Schizosaccharomyces pombe: one gene and its partners. Changing the gene in region 4 together with the main gene of any one other region gives a genetic interaction. Each region holds a gene or a part of one and is shown on either strand. Other genes may lie near its edges.

The links.
Region 1: mutations in sap145 (region 4) and hap2 together harm fitness more than expected from each alone (negative genetic interaction), as found in Schizosaccharomyces pombe (one large-scale study listed by BioGRID).
Region 2: mutations in sap145 (region 4) and sol1 together harm fitness more than expected from each alone (negative genetic interaction), as found in Schizosaccharomyces pombe (one large-scale study listed by BioGRID).
Region 3: mutations in sap145 (region 4) and SPOM_SPAC11D3.15 together harm fitness more than expected from each alone (negative genetic interaction), as found in Schizosaccharomyces pombe (one large-scale study listed by BioGRID).

Annotation. Positions count from the first base shown.
Region 1 is NC_003421.2:660,211-663,117, reverse strand, and holds hap2 (Ino80 complex subunit), read left to right. Parts: upstream 1-1,908; 5' UTR 1,909-1,936; coding exon 1,937-1,948; intron 1,949-1,993; coding exon 1,994-2,021; intron 2,022-2,073; coding exon 2,074-2,267; 3' UTR 2,268-2,378; downstream 2,379-2,907. Other genes in the region: protein asi1, read left to right, coding at 1-776; sif2 (Sad1-interacting factor 2), read right to left, coding at 2,797-2,820.
Region 2 is NC_003423.3:1,308,565-1,313,532, reverse strand, and holds sol1 (SWI/SNF complex subunit Sol1), read left to right. Parts: upstream 1-1,730; 5' UTR 1,731-1,808; coding exon 1,809-4,406; 3' UTR 4,407-4,461; downstream 4,462-4,968. Other genes in the region: karyopherin/importin beta family nuclear export signal receptor Kap109, read right to left, coding at 1-195, 245-302.
Region 3 is NC_003424.3:134,498-140,913, reverse strand, and holds SPOM_SPAC11D3.15 (ATP-hydrolizing 5-oxoprolinase), read right to left. Parts: upstream 4,670-6,416; 5' UTR 4,584-4,669; coding exon 630-4,583; 3' UTR 549-629; downstream 1-548. Other genes in the region: SPOM_SPAC11D3.16C (uncharacterized protein), read left to right, coding at 1-109; SPOM_SPAC11D3.14C (oxoprolinase), read left to right, coding at 5,813-6,416.
Region 4 is NC_003424.3:4,803,954-4,808,099, forward strand, and holds sap145 (putative U2 snRNP-associated protein Sap145), read right to left. Parts: upstream 2,467-4,146; 5' UTR 2,435-2,466; coding exon 677-2,434; 3' UTR 560-676; downstream 1-559. Other genes in the region: rRNA processing protein Rrp16, read left to right, coding at 1-540; phosphoinositide phospholipase C Plc1, read left to right, coding at 3,833-4,146. UniProt on the Schizosaccharomyces pombe protein: Involved in pre-mRNA splicing. May be involved in endoplasmic reticulum-associated protein degradation (ERAD) and required for growth at low and high temperatures.

The DNA of each region.
Region 1 (2,907 bases), on a different chromosome or scaffold from region 4:
CCTCTATTATGCCAAATGATGGGTTTATGATTTTGGTGATTGGTCGCTGCTCTGCTGAGATTCGAGGAAGTCTGGGAATGCTAGTTAAGGCAGTTGGTCAGAAAGGAAAGCATGGAACTGTGTCGTACACGGTTTGTGAATGCTATGAAGTTCTTGGACTCCTCATTCGATATCTATGTGAAAATTGTGACGTTCTTGCCCAAAGAATTGAGCCTGATAAATTTTTCCAACTTCAGCGATCGCTTACTGAGTTGTTTAGCGATACGATGGATTTTCTTCGTGATGCATGGGATAACAATAAAAACCGTGACAATTTAGCATCACATGTAACTGTAATCAGTGCTGTGGCTACCTTGTGTTTGTGGTTGACCGAAGATGACAGCCAATATGCACAAGCCTCTGGTCTTATGGACATATTTGTATATCTGTGGAGGCATAGCTGGTCGAATGGAATTGATTATGCTAAATGGATTAGCGTTGCTCTCCCTTCCATGCTGAGCAACAAGGTTTTCTTTAAAGCTTTTAAAGATTTTGATGCATGGAAAGTTGTTTATGACGATTTTATCAAGTGTAACGATGATTTAAAAGGCGACAAGTCTTTTAACGATTATATACTATCTACGAACGAAGAAGATGGGGAGGATGAACGACTTGCTCAAGCTATTCAAGATTTTCACATTCTCATTCAACTTAACTCTCTTGTTCCACAGTCAATTTGGAATGATGATATTTGGCAAGAGCCATATTGGAAGAATTTGCTTGAATCCAATTTTTAAAAAAGTTTTTGCTTTTAAAACAAATGCCCGCTTTAATATCTCCCCATAATTATTATTTTTCGTTCTTTTTAAGTTTTCTTTTTTTTTGGTCGAAAAAAACATGTCGATTTTTATTTGACAATTATTTAAGTGAAACTCTGCTTCTTTGTCTTTGTTTATTATTTTATTTGATTAATAACTTAATTTCTTGGGTACTTGAAGGGATCTTTAATTTAATACTTGGATTGTGTATCCGGGTTCTTATTATTGCCGTTGTTTTTAAACAATTTCTATGTGCTTTTGTTCATGAAATATTAACTCCTCTATCTTAGACTGGTTTATATTACCAAAAAATATACGTCTAAAACCTCTTTGACCCCTTCTCTTTTTTCTAATTTTCCTCCTCGCCCCTCTTTATTTAATTTCAGCCCACTCATAAATGTCTGTATTGTTTCAATTCAATGCTAGAAGCAAGGTGAAACCCTTGTATTTTTTATTATCTTTTTATCATTTCTGTTTGTTTTTATTTCGTTGTTGAACATTATTTGGTTTCAATTTTCTTTCAGAAGGTTCTTTCTGTTTTATTTCGCTTTTTCCCTTCTGAAAATTATTTTGCCAATGAGACACTGCTTTATTACTTGAAATTTTCTGTGCAACCGGAGCCTGGTTCTGCTGGAAGTATTCGTTTATGACAGTGCATTTATAAAACGAATGACAGATTTACTCTGAATCAGTGGCTGACAATATCATTTTTGAACTTATCCGAAGTAAATTCATGATTCTTTGTTATGAAATGATCATAAATCGTTTTTGAAATATTTGTTCACATGTATGATGTACCTTTGTTTATTGAAATTTGACTTTCGTATTGTAAATGTGAGACATGATCCATTCTTTTTCTACCCAAAAGAAGCAAAAATGTAATATGAATGGATAAGAGAAGTCAGCCAAAAAAGGATTAGCTTTATATTAGACATTTGTTTTTCACTAGCAATACCCAGCTGATGGGTAAGAAAACTAGATAACGGTTTCGGTTCGTATCGTTATAAACCCTTGGTTGCGTAATGTAGTAGGCAATCTTCTATAACGAAGTAAGCAGTTTTTCGTTAAATACAATACAGATTTTAAGCAAACTAGCTTTGCATTCTTCACCAGAAACTGAGAACGTGAAGCTTTCGGGAATGGATCCACAGGTAGGAGGTTTATTACCTATTTGTAATTATTTATTGACCGCGTAGGTGGTAAATTTGCTTCAAGAAACTGAAGGTGTGTACCGATTTTTGTCTGACGACTTTTTGCTAATGAACTCGACGTATAGAGGACGTGTATCGGCGTAAAACCGCAAGGATTCGAAGAAAAGTCTCGGAAATTGAAAAGGAATGCGAAATGTATGCTGTGAAAATTTACAACGTTGAAAGAGACATTCAGCGGTATCGCCATGAAGCGCAATTGCTATCTAAAGTGCTCGAGAAAAAAGGGTTAAATAAAGAAAAGGAAGCTGGTGAGACATAATACTTGTTTTAGGCAGGCGCTTGATGTTTTTATTTTTAAGTCTTCATTCGTTTTAAAATCACTTTGCCGGCCATTGATCTATAATCGTTAACATGCTTTTTTTTGACTAAGTATATGAAGTATGTAATGATTGATGGTAAAAATTGGACTCTGCAACCGAAGAAAAAAAACCTTATGTAATTTTTTGAAAAGTCATACTTTGTGCCGAAATCAATACAATATCTACGTACTATGGCTGTTGTTGTCCTTTTTTGTGTAACCCATTTCAACGTTCTTTTATGTGGGAAATCAACTAGGAATCTTCAAAGAAGAGAAAAAAAGAGCTTTATCTTCTATTAAGTAGGATTATTATAGAAGACTACCGTGTAATGTCAATAAATCATGAACTAACCGAAACTAAAAAAAAACTAAAGGAAAAAGCCGAAACATATGCGTAATCAACTCGATAAATATGGTTTAATTTTTTTGCCCTTTCCCATTTCTTCAATTATGTAAACATAATGTAAAAAGAGGAAAGATTCTTCGGTTGTTATTGAAACAGCTTCCAATCCACCTATGTAGAATAATGTGTTAGCAAACAGTAAAATAAATTTGTTGGAATTGTTGATTACTAAACGGAAGTCATTCAATTTGAAACCAT
Region 2 (4,968 bases), on a different chromosome or scaffold from region 4:
TCAATTCTGCCACCTCATCGCTGATACGAATAGAAGCACCTTCCTCAGAATCCCAATGTTTTTTAATGTAATTTTTGAAATACAATGAAGCGGCCAGCTTAATATTGATGTCTACTGTATCCTCAGCGACAATATTGAGGAGTTTTAGTGCAAAAGAACTATCTTGTAATTCCCATACTTTCAGTGCTTCCTCAGCTATATCAGTTAGTAAATTTGCTTTATCCACTCTGTTGGGGTATCTTACCACTTTTGGAAGTCGTAGGGTTTAATGTTCTCGCAAGAAGAGTTGGAATGTCATCCATAGTTTTCCTACAGGGATTGTGGTTAAGGGCAGATTTTGAAGGACACCGACGTAACTAGAACAATTTCTCTAACATCGTTATAGAGAATTTTTAATTCCGGTTTTATTTATTAAATAATTTTCTCTTAAGTTTGATATAGTTAACATCTTTTAATTAGTTTGTTTGCTTCTTTTTCAGGCTTGTTAATGTAATACTTTTCTTCGCTTAATTTTTGTTTTTTTTTCTATTAAAACACCCTAATATACCAATATTTGTAAATAAATAGTTGGACTATACTTGATAAATTACTTAAAAAAGGAATTAAAACTAATAAAATCTATAATTCATTATCAATAATTCAAGGGTTCACATTTTAATTATCAGCTTGTAAATACCTAATTTCCGAATTACTTGGTTTTAGTTTGCAAGCTCATTAAACATTTTATGAACCGTCAGAATAGAAATCGCTTTATACGTGGACTTGAAAGTTGTGTTAGTTGACTTTTGTTTCAAATCTAATTCTTGTTTATGCCATCAAATTCTACATGTGCAATATAGCATCTCCATCTTTATCTCAAATACTACAAACCTTTTTTTATTGTAGTATTTAGTTTTTTTCCTTCTTGAATCGGATATTCCTTTTGCGAGTTGACTTGAAACCATAGATTTGCAAAAGTAAATAATTAAGTCATAAACATATATATTTTACACGTACAAGCCCTTGTCCATAGAGTTCAACAACCTAAATCCAATTGCTTGATAATAGAAATTACCATATTCTACTATCTTGTTTCATTCATCAATAGGTTTACACATATGAAAGCACGTTTATAGAAAACAATGAAATTTATAAAATGACATTGCGTCGAGTCTTATGTAGCCAGAAAGAAAGAAGGAAAAATAATGAATAAAAAATAAAAAAAAGGTTAGACCAGATAAATTTGAATTAATGTGTCAATTTTGATTGCTCCTTTCAAAAAAAAAAAAAAAAAAAAAAGAAAGAAAAGGAGGATAACGGGATCTCGAATATGTTAACTCATATGCTTTTACTATTTTAAAAAAAAAAAAAATAATTTATTAAAAAAATATCTGTTTCCGCAAGAAGAAGATGTTGTACTCGTGATTGTTTACAGTTTCGCCAAGTCTACTAACAGAGCAAGTTAATAAATATTGTTTCTATTACAAGAGGAATAAGATATTATTTTGTTTTTAAAATTTTAGATACCTGACTAATCGATAAATGCTTCCCAATGCTAACAATTGTCATTGACTTGGAAATAAGAGACACTGCAAAGGCAAGAAATCACGTTTGCGAGATTTAAAGGAATGAGTGTAAAGATTTTTTAGGAATTTAAGCATTTTCTGAAACACACAGATTAGGTTCTTAAAGGCAGCACTAAACAACTCGTTATATGCACTTCGTCTGCTTTTCAAGCACTTTCAGCTGCCAAGCGCCTTAGACGTTAATATATTGAAACGTGTATTTTAAGGTCCCTTTACTCTTTGTTTGATTTAGTATGAGGAATCATGAATAATCAAGGGTTTGTTCCTGCGAGTGATTATCCAACCGCAGTATCATATCCCACGCAAGGTCAAAGTTATAATACTCAGGAAGAACAACCTGCGTATCCTCAACGCTTTTCGACAAGCCAAGGGATGTATGCAGCAGAATATGGAAATGCAAACATGATGAATACTTCCGAGAATGAGCCTAACAATTTGGCTCATTCACAGCCCTTCCGACAATCTCCATCAACTCAACGTAATTTGCCAAATCAATCATTTGATTTCGCCTCTAACGGTGCATGGAATGGCTCTGGATCTGTGAAATACTCTAGTCCCATGATGCCTTCAAGTCGGATCCCGTTTCAACAAGAAAAAGAGGCTGCAATGCAGCAGCAACAACAACAGCAACAGCAGCAACAACTTTATCAACGACAAATGCAAAGCAGAGAGGCCTTACTCTCTCAACAAATTCCTCCTAATCAAATTGGCATCAATGCCCACCCAGCTGTAAGACAAACTCCTCAACCTGCACCTTCCCCAAATACTCCCTCTGGTAATGCTAATCAACTAACGCCTGCTTATGCTGCTAGTTTTGACAAATTCATGGTTAGCCTTATTTCTTTTATGGAAAAGCGGGGGACGCCAATCAAATCTTATCCTCAAATAAATAATACGCCTATTAATTTAATGATGCTGTACGCCTTGGTTATGCGTGCCGGTGGATCTCGACAAGTCTCAGCTCATAATTTTTGGCCAAAAATTTCTGCTTCCTTGGGGTTTCCATCTCCTGATGCTATTTCCCTTCTAATTCAATATTACAATTCCTATCTGCTTCCATATGAAGAAGCATGGCTTGCTGCTCAACAGCAACAAAAATCACTTCAACAAGCAAAAGCTAATCATTCTGCGAATGTTCAAAGCAGACCAAAAAACTATCCACAAAAGCCGGTCCAAACCACCCCAGAAGCTGTACATGCCAATGGTTCTATGCATGGATCACTTCACTCAAAGTCACCCTCCCCAGCATTCACCGCTAATCGTTTCTCTCCAGCTGCTCCTACCACAGTTAGTTCTGAAAGAAATGCTCCACCATACCCTTCTGCTCCGACTCGACCCACTCCGCCCACCGTTCAAACTTCTTCTTCGGCAGCTCCTGTTGATTCTGCCGAACCCGTTGCTTATCAACCGATAAAAAAGCCCATCGATCCTATGTTGGGTTATCCCTTGAATGTCGCGGCCACGTATAGGCTCGATGAATCTTTGCTTCGGCTTCAGATGCCTTCAATCGTAGATCTGGGGACTGTAAACATTCAAGCCTTGTGCATGAGCCTGCAATCTACTTTGGAAAAAGAAATAACGTATGCAATGAACGTTTTACTTATATTAACAAATGATCAAAAATGGATGTTTCCGTTAAGTGAGTGCCAGGATGTAGTTGATGCGTTGATTGACGTTGCAACTCAGTGCCTTGATAATCTGCTATCTGTTCTTCCTAATGAGGATTTAATGGAAATCGCCGATAAACGTCCTTCTTATAGACAACTTCTTTACAATTGTTGCGTAGAGATATCGCAGTTCTCCAGAGAAGACTTTTCAAATTCACTAAGCGAAAACAAAACAAAAGATAGCATCAATGCTATTGATGTTCATAATTCGGAGCAAAATTTGTTAGCTGTTTTCGTTATTTTTAGAAATCTCTCTCACTTTGAGGCCAACCAAAACGTTTTGGTACAAAATCCAGATTTTTTTCCTCTACTCATTCGTGTAGTCAAAAGTCTTAATTTTCATGCCACTTCCCTTCTACGTTCATCAAGAAATACCTTGGATTTGCATAAAGATGTATTAATCGTACTTTGTCAACTTTCTCAAAATTTCATTCTACCGAATGTCGACGTTGCTCGTCACGTTTTACTATTTATTTTGTCTTTTTCTCCATTTAACAGAAAGAAGAGTAAAACTATTTTAAATGACACCCTTCCAACCTCTATACCTAGTTACACACCTGCTACCCATCCCTATGCTGGTCCCGCCATTAATGCCTATGCCAAATTACTAGCCAAAGATGCTAACAACAAGACAAACTTTCAAGCTATTTTTGATAACAATCCAAAATTTTTAGACTCCCTTTTTCTACTTCTTGCTTCTGTTGTCCCAAAATTTAACCGCCACTGCCTTAAAATATGCGAGCGAAGGTTACCCTTATTGCAGCAGTCATTTTTTTGTTTAGCAGCTACCGTTTCCTATGTTAAACAATCGGAACAAGCGGCAAATTGGTGTAATATAGGCGAGGGATTTTTTGTTTCCATGTTACGCCTACTCATACTATTATCAGGTCATCCTTCCCTTAATCCACCATCACGTGTAGCATCGCAGTATCCTACTACGAATCCTTTTCGTTATGTGATTCAGAGTGGCATATCTACGGTGCGTCGACTTTTGAGCTTAGTGGAAGCTGGAAATATTTCATTATCTTCTTTCCCCAAAAGTGAAACTCTCCTCGCTGTTTTGCTGGCTCCTACAACAGAAACCTCGTTTCTAAAAGAGATCTCAAATTTATTGGATCGAACTGGGGACAGTGATGCGTCTTTAGAAAATACGGATGATAAATCTGGCATTTAATTTGTAGATAATTTTCCAAACGTTTAATATTTTTGTCTTCATTCTAGTTAATCTGATGCGTTTCTGTATGTATATTGTCTAAACATGCTTTCAAATTTTTAGAGATGATTTATTTACTTTATAGAAAGACTACTTAACCTATGTAGAGTTAATTGCCATTCTACGCATTGCAACAATTTTATTAAGAGTATTTTCAAGCAATTCTAAATAGACTGAATTCAATAAATCAACCAGACTACAATTTCCATCACAACAAGAAAAAGTTTAACTACTCTATATTGGAGAACATGATAATCAACCTTTATCACCACTACAACTACAAGCCAAACACAACACAAAAAAATTTAATTAAAAAAAAAAAAAGGAAAAATTTGCAAGATCAACATCAGACATCCAAAGGAAGGACTATGCACGACATCTGCGGCAAAATTGGGTTCGTATGCCGCTCCGGGGAAACTGCGAATGTTCAATGGAAATTTCATCACCTGTTGATCAATGCAAAAAAAAACCTTCGCCGAACAATCCAAAAAGCAATACAGCACTATATATGTTTATAACTAAA
Region 3 (6,416 bases), 4.7 Mb from region 4:
TGATACTGAGTTTGATACTGCCGGTGTTACTGCTTCTTCTTGCTTTCCTGTGGATGTTAAATCTCCATCTGTGAGAGCTTTCGGAAATGTAACATTCCAATCAGATTGAATTGCTGAAATGAAAGGTTTCTCTTACGTTCCAGTTCGCTTTCTTTTAAGTGATTGCCTTCGTAGGATTGCTTCTTTTTTTTTCGAGCGCAGATGATTTTACCCTTTTTTTCCCAACTTTACTCTTTTTTGTTAGAGTTGTTGAAAGCTCATCCTATTCCTCGCATGCATCCTAATTTTTATGTTCTTAATGCTTTAGCAGTCCATTCCAGTTTTTTTTTTCCTATTACATTAAATATTTACTCATTTATTTTTATATTTCACTATTTCACAAATTTTGGAAACGCGTTCATATATCCTATCTTAATCTATACGGCTTTTTAATTACAATTATATACATTTTCTACAAATGATTTAGTATTCAAGAATATTATATATTATTGAACTTTATCCTGTTGTTGTCACCAACACTTGTAGTATATTCGACAACTATATACAAATATTTTTAAAAACTTTGTTATTAGTAAGAAATTAAGATGTAAAAGACAAACTATTTATATTACCATTAATAAATTATCTAACTAATTCGTGTGCTGTATTTCCTGTAATTGTGAGATGGTGCCATTAGCCCTGAAATGCTGGACACCATTAGCTTTCTTGACAGTATCTACTCGTTCAGAAGGGGGTCCATATCCACCACCGCCAGGTGTCATAATAACAATATGGTCACCAGCTTGCATATGGCATGTGTTTTTACCGCCAACGTTGATTTGTCGAACTCGTTGCTCTCCTGAAGGTAAGATATCCTTTCGAATCCAAATGTTTTTACCGCATTCGGCATCTTTACCTCCTTTCATACCGTATGGATGATAGGCACGACGCTCTGAAAGTATGGAAAGGGTAACTGGAATTCTGAATTCAATATCGCGAATAACACCATCACCACCTTTGTACTTTCCTGCGCCGCCAGAATTTTCACGAATGATAAACTTTCTCAAAATGACAGGGTATCTTCTTTCAAGTACCTCCAAATCAGTAATTCGGGTGTTAGTCATATGAGTATGAACACCAGAAGTTCCGTCTAATCCATCAATTGCACCAGATCCACCGCAAATAGTCTCATAGTATCCAAATCCTGGTTTCACTTCACCGGTCTCTGGATCTTTACCGCCAATTCCAAATGTCAAATTGTTTGTGTCACCCTGACTAGCTGCACATGCTTGGAATGCCTTGAGAATAGTATCAGTGATTCTTTGCGACGTTAGCACATTTCCACCTACTACAGCAGCTGTTTCAGAGGGTTTCAAAAAGCAGTTATCAGGAATGATAACTTTAATTGGAAGCAGACATCCTTGATTAAGTGGGATATTTTCAGATATCAAAACACGTAAACAATAAATGATGGCGCTATAAGTTACTGCCTCCGGGGCGTTAATATTTCCATAGATTTCTTCAGTTGTACCAGTAAAATCAAATATGGCATCGCCGTTTTCTTCATCAATAGTGATGCGTAAGCATATCTTTGACCCATCGTCCATATGATCCTCAGCGTATAAATCCTCACCTAAAAATCTTTCACGTACTCCAAGCAATAATTGTCTAACGGCGCTTTCCGCATTTTCTTGAATTGCCTTCATATAACGTAAAACAGAATTTTTTCCGTACTCCTTGATTAAAGATGTAATTAAATTGATTCCCTTTTGGTTTGCGGAAACTTGAGCCTTCAAATCATTTAGGTTATCGCGAAGACAGCGACTGCCTGAACCACCCTCCACTTTTGCCGGTTCATTGTAGAGTAAATCAATCATGCGTTCTTCCTGAAAAACTCCATCAACCACAAGTTTTTCGCTCTTAATAGTTGCTCCTTCTTCAGAAAGCTCTTTACTAGAAGAAGGCATGCTACCAGGTAGAATACCACCGATGTCAGCGTGATGGGCACGCGCAGCAACGTAAAACATGATCTCGTCCCCTTCGAAATGAGGAGTAATAGTAGTGATATCAGGCAAATGAGTACCACCATATGATGGATGATTGGTAACAAGAACATCACCAGGTTTTAGTTTCCCTTCGTGAATTTTTGCTTGTGTGCGGACACAAGTAGACATAGAACCTAGATGAACCGGCATATGAGGTGCGTTAGCTACAAGATTTCCTTTCGCATCGAATAGTGCACACGAATAATCAAGACGCTCTTTAACATTAGTGGAGACACTCGTTTTCTGAAGAGCCCTTCCCATTTGTTCAGCTACAGCCATAAACCGAGATCCAAATACAGAAAGGTAAATAGGATCAATTGTACTTGCTTTAGCGAGAGAATCGTTTGCCGTATATTCATTTCCATGAGAAATGTCAATTACAACGTGTGTATGCAAAATTCTAGCAACAGCTTTGGGAGGAACAACAATGGTTTGCGTTTTGTCGACTATCAAAGAAGGGCCATTCACTATTGTTCCAACAGGCAAGTTATCTAGGCTATAAACTTCAGAAGGGACACGTCCACCTTCGAAATAAATGTCCTTGACACATGTTGCTAGGCTCTTTTGAACAGGTTCGAACTTCAATTCTTTTAATTGAGCATCTACACTGGGCTCTTTGCTCTGGAAACTTTTTCCGGAAGCACGAATTCTGATATCATCAATAATTATATCTTTATTTTCAAAAATAAAACCGAACTCCTGCTTATGTTTATCAAAAAATGATTGCTTGAAATCCCAAGACTCAAGAGGCTTGCTAATCATCAAAGTGCTGTCAGTTCCTTGATACCGACAATTCAAAAATAACTCATAGCTAATTTGGCTTTCGGTAAATCCCTGCTCCTCAAGGTTAGCTTTCGCTTCTTCTTTAAGGCTATCAAAACGCTTCTTAATAGATTCAGTATTTGAGTCATCCAGAGTAAAGGAGGAAGGCTCTTGAACTTCAGACACGACATCAGCTAGTGCCATTCCATAAGCTGAAAGAATTGAACTATACTTGTGAACTAAAACCTGGGTAATACCGAGAGATTTGGCAATAGCTGCACAGTGTTGTCCACCAGCACCACCAAAAGAAGTCAAACGATGAATGGAGATATCGTGTCCTTTAGCTTCAGTAAGGGCGCGAATTGGGCGAGCCATAGTTTCGTTCGCTATCTTAATGAAGCCAAAAGCAACTTCATCGGCAGTCATTTGACGTTCTTTCTCAAGGCCAGAATTGATCTCAGCAGTCAATTTTTCAAACTCCTTTCTCGTCGACTCGACGTCTAGTGATTCATCCTCATTAGGACCAAAAATTTTAGGGAAAGACTCAGGTAAAAGTCTTCCTAACAGTAAATTTGCATCTGTAACAGTCAAGTACCCTCCCTTGCGATAGCATACTGGGCCAGGATGTGCACCAGCACTTTCTGGTCCAACAACAAAAAGGCCATTTTTCCAAAAAAGACGTGATCCACCGCCAGCGGCTACCGTATTTATATCTAATTGAGGAGATTGAATAGTAACTCCTGCCGTTGTCGTTTCAAAGACATGTTCATATGAACCACCATACCGAGAAACATCCGTAGATGTACCTCCCATATCGAATCCGATGACAGGAATTTTAACGTCCTCGTCATATGAGGTAAGTGCAAAACCTACGACACCGCCAGCAGGACCGGAGAGAATGGCATGTAAGCCTGAAAACTTATTAACGTCAACCAAACCACCGTCACTCTGCATGAACTCACAACGCACACCCTTTGAATTATCCTTTGTCTTTAAACCATGAAGGAATCCTGATTGAAACCCGGCAAGGTATCTTCTAACAACTGGAGAAAGGTAAGCATCAGCGGTAGCTGAAGTAGCACGAGGAACATATTTAATCATCGGCATTAATTTAGTTGAAAGACTGATATTGCTGAAACCAACCTCTTCAGCAATTTTACCAACAAGAAGTTCATGATCTGGAAATGTAAAGCTGTGGGCAAGGCAAACGGCGATACTGGTAAATCCTTCATCGTACAATGCTTGCAAATCTTTGCGAAGTGCATCGCAATCTACCTTTTTCATAATACGAACGACTTCACCAGAACGGCCAACTACTAGTGACGGGTCAGAGCCGTCAATTGTGGTTTTGACTTTCATTGGGTCTTCAACATAATCTTCTAGTGTTACACGCTCGTCAACTTCGATAACTTTAGAGTACAATACTTCAGGTCTTCGAATTCCCAACTCGAAAATATTAGGTCTAGATTGGTTGCCAATTAACAGACCATCTTTAAATCCTTTAGTCGTTATAAAAGCGCATCGTTCACCTTTTCGTTCCAATAAAGCATTGGTAGCAACTGTAGTACCACACCGTAAATGATTAATGCAACTGGTATCTAATTTTTCGGTTCGTGGGATCGATTTTCCTTGAACAATCTCTAAAATGCGTCGGACAGCTTCGATAGAAGCGTCCTTATAGTTACTAGGATCCTCTGAAAGTAATTTGATGACAATAGGAGGGCGAGATTCATCAGCAAAAGTGGCGATTGCGTCTGTAAAAGTACCACCTCGATCAATGTGAATTTTGACACTCATTTTTTAAATCCAAAATGTGTATTAAATCTATGTGTATGTATATGTAGGTAGAAAAAGAAAGCAAAAAATAAAAAACAGCACAAGTTAATGAATTAGGCAAGAATGATATCCATATATATACATAAATTATTAAATCATCACAATATTGTGTAGCAAAGATTGCCTCCTTATCAGACTGAAAGTTGGCGGAGCTCCGTATTCATTTGTGGAGTTCGGCGGAGTGGAGGAGCAGTATCGAAGCCTGCTGATATGGTCATGCAATTATTAGAGTATCTGAATTATCGATGAATCATTAAATTGATATTCAACATGCGTCTAATTAGAAAGTTTTGAGCTGGTCAATATGGAAGTATACTACAGAAATCCTACATATTTTATGTATTGGGTATCATTGTTAACAGTTTGCAAAATAAAGATCTTGACAATTAATTATTATAATAAAGCTTTAAAAATTTGCTAATTTGCAACTTTCCTGTCCGTTCCTAAATTGATTATCGATAAAGAATTGTATTTATCGCAATCATAAGTATCTCAACACTTGTAGTCCTAAGTATTTCATGATGTTTAAGATCTGCTGTTTGGCTATTCAAGGACTCCCTATCTACTTGCTTGGTACTATTGATATCGTAGATAGAACCAAATATGCGAAATCAGTAAAATTAATGTCAAAATACACTCTTTACTAGTAAAAATTAATAATTTATTGGTAATGATGTTAATTTAATTTAATTTGCTTGAATTATTATTCATTTTGATCTTTTTTGCGAAATTTATTTCGTAAAATGGTTTGTAAGATTGTTATCTGTTCTTTAGTAGGTACTTTGTGCACATGTTTCTTTAGATTAATTGAACTGTACTTATTATTTCTTGCTTTGATTAGAGTTAACTACAAACTCTCACATGAGGGATGCACTCGTAAATCTTTTTCTTGGGGCAGTTTATTCCACAATGCAAAAATGTACATACACGAATTATTAGTTTGATCGCTTCGGTTAAAAATCTAAATGGAGAGCACTAAATCTTTAAATGATAAGAATCATTCCTTACGACTATGGAATCCCCCATCTTGGTATAATTTTTTGGACGTTCAATGTCTCGGTCAAGGAGGAGCTCGTTTTACTTATCTTGACTGATTGGAACGTTGACTAGAGGTATAAAAGTTCGCAATTAGCATGCTGTAGTTATTCATTCATTCTTTAAGTTAAGAATAACCTTTTAATTTTTTTATAATGAAACAAGATGTGCGAATTGCGATTGATAGGGGTGGAACCTTCACCGATGTTTACTATAAGATATCTGGATGGAGGGAGCAAGAAGGGATTTTCAAGTTGCTTTCTGTAAACCCTAAATTATACGACGATGCTCCAACTGAAGGAATTAGAAGAGTGTTGTGTTATGCGTCCGGCGAAGAAATACCTCGTAAAGTCCCTTTAGACTTGACAAGAGTATCCTCTATACGTATGGGTACAACTGTTGCGACGAATGCTTTGTTAGAACGTAAGGGTGAAAAAACCGCCTTCATAATCACGGAAGGTTTTCGAAATTTGGTAGAAATCGGAAATCAAGCTCGCCCGGACTTATTCGACCTCACAGTATCAAGGCCTTCACCATTATATCAACGTGTCATAGAAGCAAAAGAGAGAGTTGTCTTAGAAAACCAATTCTCAAAGACAGCTGGTATTGTTCAAGGAATTACAGGAGAATTTTTGCGAGTGGAAAAGAAATTGGATGAAGAAGCGTTATATCAAGATCTAAAGGAATTATACAATGAAGGGTTTCGCTCCATTTCTGTCAGTCTTATGCATTCTTATACATATCCTCTTCATGAAGAGG
Region 4 (4,146 bases):
GTTTCAGACCAAGACGTTAATCACAGCATTGATTCTGATGACCAGTCTGAACACGAACAAGCAGAAACTCCGATCCCTTCTTCGAAGAACAAACGAAAAACCAGGTCTCAAAGAAATAAGATACGCCAAAGAAGAGAGGAGGAGCTTAGATTACTTGAGCAAAAGAAAAATGAAGAGCTTCTGAGGACGATCGACAAAGCTCCTGCAATATCCAAAAAACTGCAGCAAAAGGATAAAGCTGAGAAATTCTCTAATAAGGCTGTTTCTTCTAGCACAACTGAAATCAAACTGAAGAAGAAAAAATTCGGTAAACATCGATTGCCTAACAACCCACTTGAAATAAAGTTGGGAGATGAGCTGACTAGTTCCCTTAGAGAGCTGAAGCCTGAAGGAAATTTGTTTGCCGATCGCTATTTAAGTTTACAACAAAGAGCAATGGTTCCTCCATCTTTGCCAGTATTGAAGAAATCAAAGTATCGTGCAAAGATCAAGGAAAAATATAGTCACAAAGACTTCCATCTTCAAAAAAACAGTATATAAAATATATTTTAGCTAGGGTATAAATTGGGGTTTTTTTTATTTTCACTTACAAATAATAATTAATACTTGAATAATGTATGGAGCTTAACAATAATACTGTCATATAGATTAACTAATGTACACTGTAGATAATAATTTAAAGACGAAACTTGTCTCTCTTGCTTTGTGTTTTCTGTCGTTTCGCAGCACCAACCTTCATAGCCTGCTCAGACACCAACTCCGAAAGCTCATCTTGCCAATTAGAACTTTGATTTAACGCAACATCTCCTTTGTTGGTTGATGAGAGCATGGAATGTGCATTCCTTTTTTGTGGAAGAGTATCTTCAGCGGTAGGAATGTCGTATTGATGCTGAGGACCCATGAAACCTGAGATATTAGTAGATTTTTCAGGTAAAACTTGATATAAGTCTCGATTAGCAGCATCACTACTTGGTTGAGTATTTTTTCGTAATTCAACATTGTCAACCTCTACATTAGATTGATTAAAATACGTTAAGGGCTCTGCATGCAAATCTTCCCTCTGTGACCTAGGCTCTGACGCTGACTGATATTCCTCAATCGTTTCACGTTCAGTAATTTCTTCAGTAGGATATTCTACGTCTTCGCTCTCTTCCTCTTCACTAGATTCTTCTTCCTCAAACTCCTCCAATTCACCCCAATGCTGAGTGCTCACAGGCGAACCTGTACCAGCATGTATTCGAGGTTTGACATTACCAAACACGTCGCCATAAAGAGGACGATTAAATTGGTCCACAGGAGGTTTTCCCCAACCACCAGGATGAAATCCCCACTGCGCTCCAGTCGGAATTGGACAATTCACACCGGGAATTTTAAGATCTGGATAACTTGGAGGAGGCCCGTATCTCTGCATAGCAAATAACCAAGGAGGAGGTGCTCCTGGAGCAATTCCCAAGGCTTCACGGAGCTCCTCCGAAATGTCGCCGGGCCTCTTTTCTTTCACATCAGCTTCTAATTCTTTTCCTTCAAAATAGCATTCGCCAAAACCGGTTAGCACCGGTTTTGTTTGGTAGCGAAAGAAGGCATCATGAAGCTTTTGATAATCAATGTCAAGCTTTCCCATTTTTGGTTGGACACGCTCACGCATTTTTTGACGCAAAGGCATATCAGCTTCATTTTCATGCACAGCATTACGCATTTGAACTATGCCAGTAGCACGAATATACGAGGGTAACTCGAAGAGTTGACGTTCTATACCTCTTTGGCCACTCAAGTAATCTCTTTTTTGGTTCCAATGACGGGGAACAGGAACAGTATTAGGATATGCTTTTAGATGTGTGAGGAATAAAGGATCAAGCGACGAAACATCCCACCATTCGACGACATCTGCTTTCTCGGAGAGCATCTTCAGTTGAGCAACAGTCATCCTTTTTAACTTTCTCAATTTCTTTTTACTAAGTTTTTCCTCCTGTTGTTTTTGTAAAGCGTCTTCTTCGCCTTCACTCAAAATTTCATCGTCAGAATACATTATTTGGCCCTTGTCGGTATCTTCGAAATCTTTTTCTTGACCATCAGCTTTGAAACGATTAAAGACATCTTTAAATTGCTCTATTAGCGGATCATTAGGATCTAATTCTACAGAATCGACGATTGTAGTATAGACCATCCCGTCAACACTATCAGTTTTGTTTGTATCATAGAAGTTTCCATTAGATTTTTTATCATTGTATAGGTTGTCATTATTTTCAGTCAACTGGTCCTTGTCATCACTATTTTTTTCTGCCAATTTAGCACCAGAATTTGTCTTTTCACGTAGTAATTTTTTTTTCTCTCGACGAACTTGGTTTCTGCTCTTTTTATTTTTTTGCTTATTATTCCTCTCTAAAATTTTCTCCAGTTCCTTTAAAGGATTTTGAGCTGTCTGTATTTCAGCCATTAACAAAAAATCTAAGCAACAATGCTTTGGACGTGTCAACAAGTACATGCATGGAGCGTATTAACAAAACACTACCACCCAAAAAACGAGTATCCTCCTTACTGAAGATTTTTTGTAAAAAAAAATACTAGCAATAGTCATGATGAACGGGTCCTTATTCTTACTGTAATTAATAGAAAATAGTTGAGTTAACGTGTAACAATATATTGCAATAATAAAATGCGATAGTAACACTATTTCCATGAATTCCAGCAATACACAACAACTTCTTAAAACATTAACATATTATTAAGCTACTGTAATTCTTCATTCCTATGTTGTAAATAAGGTTCTGATTGTTTCCATTAAAGACCAAATCGATTTTATGTTGTTTCAAGCCTGCAAATACTATGAACACCTTATTTGCAATCTGGAATTTTTCGTTCTTCTCTATAAATGGTTGTGAAGTCGCCTTTAGGAGTTAACCTTGCCAAATTTTTTCAATAAACTAAGTACTGCTTCAAACGATTCTCAAGGTGTTGATGCTTTGAGGTTACCTTCTAAGTTACTGAAATGGTAAGTATTAGGGTTTGATAAAATAAAAATGACTGTCGATATGCACTAGTTTAATTGCACCAAGTTCTTGCTCTATCAGAATTATTTGGATGAGAGTTTAAACTAGGCCATTAGACTATGTTGACTGAACACATTATAACTTAGAAACGTTCCGAGAAAATTATCTACATTACTTTTAATCGGGAACAAAATAAACCAGTATAAGAAATAAATGTTTGAGAGGCTATTAATTTCCGACGATATTAAACTTCATTCGTTAACATGAACAGTGAGTTCCTTATGAGCAATCGAATATTTAGTTACTAATTGATAAATTAATTTTTCTATCATCACTTTAGTGTAAAATAAAACAGAAAAAAACCATTCATAGTAATACTCAGAGAAATGGCTTTTAATGAGTGAACAAAAACGCAGATCAATTGAATAAAGCCCAACGGTTTTCTCGAACTCGATTGTTTGCAATTCATCTTAGTGATAGTCACAGCGTTTCCGATAATCGATTTTCTGTGATTGAACACGTTCTTATTCATAATTGCGTATTAAACCAAAGCGCGCTTGCCACTAACGTTAACAAAAGTCTCGGATGTAAGCTCCTACGATATAAGAGGTAAAAGTTCCGAAAACAACTAATTTTTGTCCCTATAATAATATCAGGCTTACTTGATTTAAAGTGGTGGATTGAATCTATGCTCATATGCAATTTTGAGTGCTATCCACTTATCTTTATTGACACATACACGGCGTATTGTTGCTGAATGAAAACCGAAAAACCGAAGAACTTTTAAATATCAACATAATGATCAAAAAGCCAATGGCGGTGTAAATCCTTAAATAGATATCATAATGAATTGTGAAATGGTAACGTCGCCTGAATCGGTCAACTTAGGAGACTCCAACAGAGCAGTAAGTCCATTTTGCCTGCCCGATTGCTCAGAAAACGCAGTTGCTCAGACGAGGAGTAAAACCTTAGATAATGCTGCTTTGGATCTCCCATATGTTGGCAATAGGAAGAAATCGGAGCAGGATTTCTTTAAGATGCTATCATCAAGGGATCGCGATGCTCATAGTACTCTACGTAAACGATCAAATTCTTTATCTTCTTTTCTGAGTACGAAATCGACATCAGCTTCAGAAAATAAATTCCATGGAGGATTGAA